Linked DNA regions of Drosophila melanogaster. The protein of the gene in region 1 interacts with the protein of each later gene in a pairwise test. Each region holds a gene or a part of one and is shown in the gene's direction. Other genes may lie near its edges.

Region 1 (4,824 bases):
GCACATCTCCACGGTGAAGGGAAGCAGCTTCTCAGAGATCTCGGCCCGCAGAGCTGGCGACGCGTACTTTAGCATGCTCTGGATCACGCGGGCGGTGTCGTGGGCCTTCACCACCTTTGAAATAGTGTCGCCCACGTTGAGCACCTTGTATATCTGCTCCACCAGCTTGTCCTTGTTCTCCGTTCGGCGGCTGCAAGACAAGCACCAAATTATGTTGATATATATATATCAGAGCAATAGGATTTGCGCATTCATTAGTTGTAATTTTACGAAAAAAAAAAAAAACGCGACAGAGGATAGAGCTGGTTTGTTTATGACCAAACAAAACAGCATGCGCTAAATAGGCGTCTTTGGAATCTACGCTCTTGGTTCTAACTCAACATTTATACAGAAATACAAGGCTATATTAACTTAGTTTTGATACTGATCAAAATGCTTAACTAGCTATTATTGTTTCAAGAACATGAATAAAATGTTTGGTGTTTTTGAATTCGAACCAAGTGGCAATGTTCGGTTTTTCCACGAACAGGTGCTTCGTTTTGGGATCCACATGGCCATGTTTATCGATATCTTGTCCTTTAAGGAACCAAAATGACTTATAATTATTAAAACTATATCGTATAGATTGATGCCTTATGAAATTTAAACAACTTTGTACGTTCTGAATGTACATAAGTGCATGAAAGAGCCCGATTTTGTTGAGCTATCATAATTTGTATAGGTAATTTGAGCGCTAAGGATGATAATAACCGATTGTTTGGGCTGTTCATCGTGTTTTTGGGGATGCTCACCATCGCAACTTCTCGTGGATCTGGTTGGCCTCCTTGCTGATCTCGTAGGTGTCCTTGGCACTCTTGCGCTTCAGCTTGAGGTCCTTCTTCTCCTTCTTGAACTTGTTCCAGTCCTGTTTCTCGCCCTCCGCCGGCGCCTGTGGCTGTGTTTGTGGTTTTCCGCGGAACTTGTTGCCACCAAGCCTCTTGTCGCCGGTGGCTCCGGATTTGTCAAACTTCTTGAAGCCACCGGGCCCAGACTTGTCGAACTTCTTGGCACCACCAGCGCCTGGCTTTACAAACGACTTGCCTGCTCCTCCGCCGAATTTGTCGAACTTCCTGGCGCCTCCTGCTCCACCGGGCTTAAACTTCTGTCCGTTGGCGCGCTTGCCGGACGATTCATGGGCCTTGAGGGGCGAGGCCGTGTTGGCCACGTTAGCAGGTCCTTTCGGCTCCGAGCTAACCATCTTTGCTGCGTTTTCTTGGACACTACAACTAAATAACAGCAAATGTTTTTGCCAAAAAAGCGAACTACACGTGCTGCTGATGCAGAGTGACCAGATTGTTGCAGTATACCCAAGCTGTGTAAATACCAAAATCTGGTATTTTCGTTCCACATACAGTAAGTATCAATGAAGTGCTTCTATTTGTTTAAAATTTAACTCAAGTTAATGCGTTCAGTTCAATTTGACTTTCCATTTGAAAGCGGCTAAAAAATAATAATCCATGTCTAAATATTAAATTTAAACTCTTCCTAAACTAAGCTCCTCAATGTTGATTACTTGTTATAGAAGGTCAAATAATTTTATGCATGTATTTGCGTCGTTTTATGAATATATGTATGTATTCATTCCCAAAAACATATTAGAATTGGTCTAAAAATTGAAGGTACCGATTTTTCATTAACGGCACTTGCCAACACTGGCTTTGCGGGGTAGCAGCCGTGTTTCTCGCGCTGGCAACCCTGTCCGGCAGAGTTCACGCACTCGGGCAACCTTGTCGTTGGAGGTGTTCGCGAACGTCGACAACCCTAGCGGCAACAGTTAAAAAATGGTGTGAAACGGCGACGGAGAACGCGGCGTGCAACTGTTGGAAGCCACTGCTTGGTCCTCGTTTTGGTCCCGGGTTCTGGTCCTCCTATTGATCTCCATCTCCGCCCGGCCACCAGCTCGAAAGCGCACCTACACATCATAGTTTCCATAGACAGTCCCAGTTCCACATCCACTCCCCCGCCAGCCAGCCAACAACAACAAAAACAACAACAGCAAGAGAAACAACTCAGAAGTCGAAAGGAATCTGGGAACTCCTGCGACTCCCCCGCGCAATGGGCACCATCTCATCCGTGCTGCAGTGGTCGTGCACCAAATGTAACACTATCAATCCCACGGAGTCGCTCAAGTGCTTCAATTGCGGCACCGTCCGCAAGGTGTTCCCCCAACAACAGCAGCAGCAGCATCGCAGCAGCAGCATCACCGCCTCCTGGACAGCTGATGATGCACTGGAGCAGGAGCAGGCGGAGAAGGGGCAGGAGAGGGACAAGGAGAAGGGCAGGGCGGCGGTTGCCAGGTAAGCGAAGCGGTCGCCACAAAAACAAACAGCCTGTATGCCTCCTCTGCGAGGATGTGCCTGTGTGTGTCTGTGTCTGTATGCGTGTGTGTGTGTGTGTATGTGGGCGCCAGTGGTGGCATCCAATTGGAGGACAAAAGCGCTAGCTAAAATCATGTCGCATATGGTAATGTGTATAGAAATCGGTGGCGTTTTCAAATCCAACTTTTTTCGCACACACATTGTATGCACACTTTGGAAAATATACAAATACACAAATATGTACATACTTTCATCGGTAAAATTCGTCAATCAAAAACCTTAACTTTCAAAGAATAATAATACCAAAAGCTTACCAACGTAAGCTCCTATGCTGAACTTTAATATCCAAAGAGCAGACCGAGTAAATCTTAGTAAATTTTATAGTTCTCACTAACCCTTTTGTGCATAATGAAACTTAAAGAATAAGAAAACAATGAAATCGGTTAGGAAAATCCTGATTAACTATCCATAGGAATAACTCGAATGGGAGTATAGGAATAAGTTGAAAGATTTTTATATTACGAACTTAAGTTTCGAAAGGCTAGGAAAAGGTACAGTGTGTACAAGTACACAGTTCAAAAGTCTAGCTTTAAAAGCCAAGCCGTCGGCACTGGTGATTGTCCCTGAGCGTGTGTGTGTGTGTGTGTGTGTGTGTGCGCGAGTGTGTGTATGTGAGAGCATGTATACACAGCAGAGGCAGAAGCAACAACAAAACAGCCGAGGAGCAGCGAGAATTGGGGAAAATCGATTTGGATAAAGAAGCATTGTTTACAAGTTTATCGATTCGCGAACTCGCTCGGCGATCTGAAGAGCAAAAGAGGTGTAGGAACAACTTCCGAGTCGAGCGGACGAGCGGAGAGTAGGAAAATGGCCAGTCATTGAGATAACCTTTGCGGTCAGGAAGTGGGGAAAGCCCAAACAGCTCAAGAACACCGAATCCCATCCAAACCCGACGAAAAACGAAAAACCCCATTTCCCTATTTTGCAGGAGCGAGTACAAGCATGTGTACAAGTCCCTGCTGCGCGGATGCTTGAAAAGACCACAGCGGAACAGCCAGAATCTGCCCGCCAACTGCGTGGATTGCGAGGACACGCGCAAGTACATCAAGAGCTCTATTGAGCTGTACCGCCACTTCTCGAATCCGGCCCTGAATCGGCGGTGGGTGTGCCACGCCTGCGGCACGGACAACAGCTCGGTCACCTGGCACTGCCTCATCTGCGACACGGTCAGCTATCTGGCGCCCATTTACAAGGACGCCATCGCCGCCGACCGAGGCCAGGATCTGGCTGGCAGCCTGGGCAATCGCGGCGAGCTGCTGGCGGCGGACCATTCACATCCACATCATCATCACCACTACCTCCACCAGGAACTGGAGGAGCAGCATCAGCATCAGTTACATTCCCAGCACTTGCATAAGCGCCACCTCAAAGGTAGATCTGCATCCGGATCGGGATCCGGACCGGGCTCGGGTTCTGGACTGCGCCGCACCCAGAGCCTGAGCACCGCTATCGACAAGAGCGCTTCCGGGCGCAGCTGCCACATTTGCTATGCGAACAACCAGAGCAAGGACATCTTCAATCTGCCGCAGATCAAGCCGGCGCCGCAGCTGACAGGTGCGTTCATCAGCTAACGAACTAATGAAAGGTTAAAGGTTACTTGAGGAAATAACTATAAGGTATTCTTATTGGCCAGCCTATCGTTTCCAAATTTTTACTAGAAGAAACTCTTTAAATGGACAACCGAATTATTTAAAGTCTATTCTCTTTTTGTAAAGTTCTTAATCTTAGTCAGATCATGATGAAAGTGTTAGCTTCCCATAACCGGAATGCACGCACTTGTTATCCGATAATCCAATTCTAATCCCTATGTGTTTCTCGCAGGGATTCCCCCCGTGGCCGCCTGCAGCAACTCCCGTTTTGCCATCGCCAACGACACTTTTTGCAGGCGCAAACAGAACAACAATAACAAGAACCAGAATCACAAGGTGGTTCGCGAGAGCGGTGCCAAGCGGAAGTACAACTTTACCATCACCACGCTCTCTCGGTCGGCGGCCAAGGATGCCGGCCATGGCCAAATGAAGCCACTGCGTCAGGTCGTTAATCTAAATCTGAATCTACAGCAGGAGCCGCAGCAGAAGTCACCGGCTAATCCGCAGCAGCTGCAGCGGAAAACCCAGCGGGAGCCAGCAGCAGTGAGTATGAATCCCACGCAGTTCACCATTCCGCGGAACGGCGTCTTCATAGCCGTCAACGAGTGGTCGGAGCCAATGGCCAGCAGCTCCTCCGTCTCCTCTAGCTCCAACCATCATCATCACCATCACAGCAACAGCAATAGCAATAGCAGCGGTAACAGCAACATCATCAACAACAACAGCAGCAGCTCCAGCGGCAGCAACAAGTTGTATGAGAACGAATGCGTGGCCCTGGCCCAGCAGCAACTAAGAGCAGCTGCTGCGCAGGCGGCACA
Region 2 (4,742 bases), on another chromosome or scaffold:
ATTAACCCATCCACATTTACAGCGCCTCACTGCTAGGAGGGCATATTCGAACCCCCTCTTTATTTTTTGCCCAACTTTGCACAGTTGTTCTGTAAGTTAAGTTTAATACGTTGAGCCAACGAATCGTGAGGTATTATTTATTTAAACAAAACGAAACAAACGAAAAAAAAAAAACATAGGAAAGAGGAGGAAATAAGGAAATTCAATTGAAATTATTTGCTGATACTGTTCGCAGCTAGTCGAGCAGATACATAGGTAGCCTGTAAACAATAAAACAATTACACGCGGATATATACACCCACTGTAATCACAGATGTCAGTGCTTGATATACACATGCCTAGGTCTAGTGGAACTGGTAGTTCTACCATGTTGTACTATTTGTAGTAGGAGTCCCAAATCTGATTATGCTTATGTCACCCTTTATTATAGGAATGTTCTCTGTATATTATTGCGTCTCTTTTGCGTCTACGTATATATTTTTTGGTAAATGATTTTTTATATATACATATACACATTTATATTTGTAATTTGTATTTATCCATGTGCAAAAATAAATTATGATGATTATTTTTTAAAGAGTCGTCCCCCTCGAAGCATGCATAACAGATTGTAAAAAATGAATCGATTTATATATAATACGAAAATCACACACTACCCACTTGTATCTGAGCGAAAGGGCCTTAACAATTAGTAGGATGCATGATCGATGTATGCAGATCGGTTATAAAAACAGATATAGCAGGCATATTATTCGCATGCGAAAACCGTTAATAGAATAATATATTATAATGGCAATATGTGTATGCAACTAATAAGCCCTAACTTCTAGTTAATTACTGCTTTCCTATGTTATAAACCAAATGGCGATATAATCAAAACAAAAGACAAGCCCACATAAGTTAAATGTGTATGCTACCAACATAACAAACCTTTGAAGATCAAGCTGAATTATGTATTTCTAATATTAAATATATCACAACCCACACATAAAAAAAAAAAAACAAACACGACAAATAGAACAACAAATTATACAAGCAATTCCCCTATTTATTTAGAACCACACTGAAACACTAAAGAAATTCGCTTCTTATCGTAAATCCACAATTGCATAATTTATACGATTAAACAAAATATATATTTATGTGAATAAACTGTAACTAATTCTCAAGGCAATCATCCAAATGCGATTCGCTACTTCTTGGTTTCCAGAAAGTCCCCCAAAAATGTCATGGTCATCTGAATGGAATGCTGCTGCAAGAACCTCTCGATAAGGGGGAACATAGGAAGTTTTCAATGGAACTTTACTCTGGCGAATCTTATCGGATAGTTTGTACACAACCGCAAAAAGTAGCACTAATAGTGGTTGACTTCTATTAAAAGTAAAGCAACAGGTGGATCATGGAAATCATACTGATTCAGATTCATTATCTTTTCAAAACCTATTGAAAACAAAAGTTACTGGTTTAGAAGGCAAATGAACCAGAAATTTTAAATTTATACTTATATAGTGTAAAATTGTTTCCAGTGCTCGATAGTTCCATGTTTTATTATTTGAAAAACAACTGCCGTTAACAAAGCGGTATGACATCATCAATGCCATCATAACAAATCAGCTGCCGCTGATAAGCGCAGCTTGGAGCTTTTATGTTGTACCCAACCTACTAGGTACAAGACTGAGTGTGCTTTACAACACTAAACTGTTGGCGAGCTTTCCTCTGTTTCGCAGCTCGGACCGCCTTTCATAACGTAGTAAGTTTTCGTTGCGAACGGACGTAGCCCAACCAACTTGGCCTTAACCCTTGCGCTCCCTCCGATTTATTCCGCGGCAAACACATTCCAGTGGACAGTGGTGCAGTTCAGCCCAAGACCAACCTACATTTTAGCTCCCTGCAAACCCGTTTCTTCATCAAATAACTATGGCGTCCAACCGTGCAGCGAAGTCTGGTTTTGCCGCCGAGGCCCAGCGCAAAGTAAGTACCAAATAGCAACAACAACCGCACCCCCCACCCAAAAACCGAAGAGCGCCAAACAAAACAACACAATAAACAAATTGCCCAAAAAAAAATCAACTTTTGCACGGGTGTGTGCGTGAGTTTAGAGCTGCATTGACTTTATTTGGCGCTGCGTTGTCAAGATTTTATCTTCGCGCGCCAAATGCCAAAAATTAGCCAAAAATGGTCTTGAAATTGCCAGCGTCTAACAAGGAATGACCTCATTTCGCTGATAAGTCGAACAAGTATTTATGTACATACATATGTATATAGGAATATATACATGCATGTACACACATGTGTAATGCATGCGTAATTCGAAAGCTTGAAGATGATTTAGGTGATTTTGAGGCATTGTCAGTGCGGGTGATTCAAATCGAAGATCGAGAAAACAGTTGGTTATCCATAAATCAAACAATTAGTAGTAGTTAGTAAAGCTCTGGAAATTTCGATATGAATAATATCCCAAGTTCGAACAGTATACATTATAAAGATGAGCTAATATAATCCTAATTAATTGTGCTGCAATAAAAGCAAGTCTGAATACATAGGTGCTACTTGTGGAGTATCCACTGTAGAAGGAAGACCCTTTGGATGATCTCAACCCAACTATTGCAGCATGGTAGCTTCCGCAATGTAAATTGACATTAGTTCCGTCCATTAGCAGCACTTTGCCTCAAATGCACTCATACAAATGCATCGGGCTTTTGTGGGTGGGATGGGGTTGGGGATGGGTTACCCGTACCCTTCGGCCATTTGGCCCTCGTCAAGTCGGGGTTACGCAATTCCAACCGCCCCTGGGCAGCCCCAAGTGAAATTGTATATGTCGCCGGCACAGGGGATTAAGTGCAGTCCGACGAAATCCACAACAAGACAACTACAGTTACAGCATTGCCCAAACAAAAAACGAAACAAATAATCGAGATTTTTCATATCCGAAGTTTTGTATACCCTTGAGGAGCACTTTACCAAGTTGTTGACAAACTGAAATATTTTGTTTTGCTTTAGCTTTGCTTATCTAAAAGTATTTCCACCCGGATTTCATTCTCTTGAGTCAGCCATTTGGCAAAAGGCCTTGTTTATCGGTATTATCTGTACTAGCGCATTTTTAAAACACAGTATGTTTTAAAACACAGTATGAAGTATGTTTTAACGTGGTTTATGGTGATATATCAGGCACTATGGTTATGAAAAATATTATGAGAACTCTGTAGTGTTTATTTATGCCATATCATGTTAAGCTAAAACATTTTGGTACTTGGAATAGGAAGAACCTTGGCATAGGGTATAGAAAAATAAGAGAAATAGAGGCGAGTGCCTGGAGGCGCAGCTGCTGGCGCGACTCCAAGCCGCGATCGAATGGCTCCCCAGGAGCCGAAGGCGATGATGTCATTCCTTCAGCTGTCCCTCCACTGGTGCTCCTCGATCCCTTCGCGATCCATTCAACTCGAAGGCGTTGTTAGTTTGAGCACTTTTGCCGCTCGCTGGGAGTCACTCATATCTTCTGAGGGGGATTCGGGTTCGGGTTTTGAGTTTTTGGGGGTGACAGGAGGTAGAGGCGATAGCAGCACCTTTTCCACCACATGAGCACTTAAAACTGAGTATGTGGCGTAAGCAAACAGCAAAACAAAAGTGAGGCAAAAAGGTATGAAAGCAATATTTTTGTTTGTCTCATGGGTTCTCTACACTCCGTGCTTGCGTGTGTGCTTTTTCCGACTTTTACGACCAGTCACCGACAAATTGGCATGGATCTCAAGTTTCGGCCAGGGAATTCGTAGCCCCTTTATTTTCAACCCTTTCCTGGGATCGTAGCACCAGCTGTCGGGAAAGTTCTAGGAATGAGGCAGAAAGGTCTCAAGTTACTCAAAGTATGTTTACTAATTTGTAACTACATAAACGATTGAATATATTAGTTTAGCAATCTTAGATTCAGCATGATACTATTTCCTTTCTGGAAATTCACCCCTAAGAAGCCGCACTGTAGTTGTTTTCTTTTCCAACTCCCTCCACGCTCGCAGCTGTATCTCACCGCATTGGCGGCACATGGGCCACGTACTAATCACTTGGCCTTTTTCGGAGTCAAGAATCCACACTCAATTAGCAGTGCATATGTGAAAGACACTGTGTACACACTTGTACATCCGCAGCACGCACCTCCCTGTATCTGTATCTATATATCAGTATAGGTACGGGTATCTCTATCAGTGCGGGCGACACGTAAGTGGAACACTTGGCCCACATGAACTCCGTGCTCCTAGATGGGTATAGCTAGGTATTCATTCCCGAACCTCTCCCCCAAAAATTTAACACTTGTTGGCCGCTAGTTTTAGATAAGCCATAAACAGTCGCGGGAGGTGGTCGACAGCGGCTTTATCGTAAATCAAATGCTGTTTTGGATTTCCGGTGAAACTACTGCCAGTGCCGAAAACACCTCGACAAATGAAAATGGAATGAAATTCTGCCCCCTGTCCAAATCCCTCCGAAAAAGGCACTCGATGGGGGCCCATACAACAACTCAGTCAACTGAAGTCGAAGTTGGTCGCTCGTAAACCAGACTCAAAAATCATATATGTATGTACGCAATTGACCTCGTTACATTTTTGCGGATTTTGTTTATGTTATCGTTGTGGAATTTTTGTCATTTTCCCATTTATTTATCCACCCAAAAGATATCGGTCAGCAATTGTCATGGATCATGACGCATTCGAATCGCAAAAGAAAGCGAAATCGGCGGTGGCATAGTGAATAAT

Evidence for each region.
Region 2: the proteins of sol (region 1) and Chd64 interact in a two-hybrid assay, tested with the Drosophila melanogaster proteins (one large-scale study listed by BioGRID).

Annotation. Positions count from the first base shown.
Region 1 is NC_004354.4:21,348,515-21,353,338, forward strand, and holds the start of sol (small optic lobes), read left to right. Parts: upstream 1-1,765; 5' UTR 1,766-2,094; coding exon 2,095-2,336; intron 2,337-3,120; exon of another isoform or gene 3,121-3,247; coding exon of another isoform or gene 3,248-3,252; intron 3,253-3,345; coding exon 3,346-3,971; intron 3,972-4,238; coding exon 4,239-4,824. Other genes in the region: peng (penguin), read right to left, coding at 1-190, 792-1,237. UniProt on the Drosophila melanogaster protein: Has a role in eye development. Calcium-regulated non-lysosomal thiol-protease.
Region 2 is NT_037436.4:4,119,385-4,124,126, reverse strand, and holds the start of Chd64 (Chd64), read left to right. Parts: upstream 1-1,738; 5' UTR 1,739-1,917; coding exon 1,918-1,971; intron 1,972-4,742.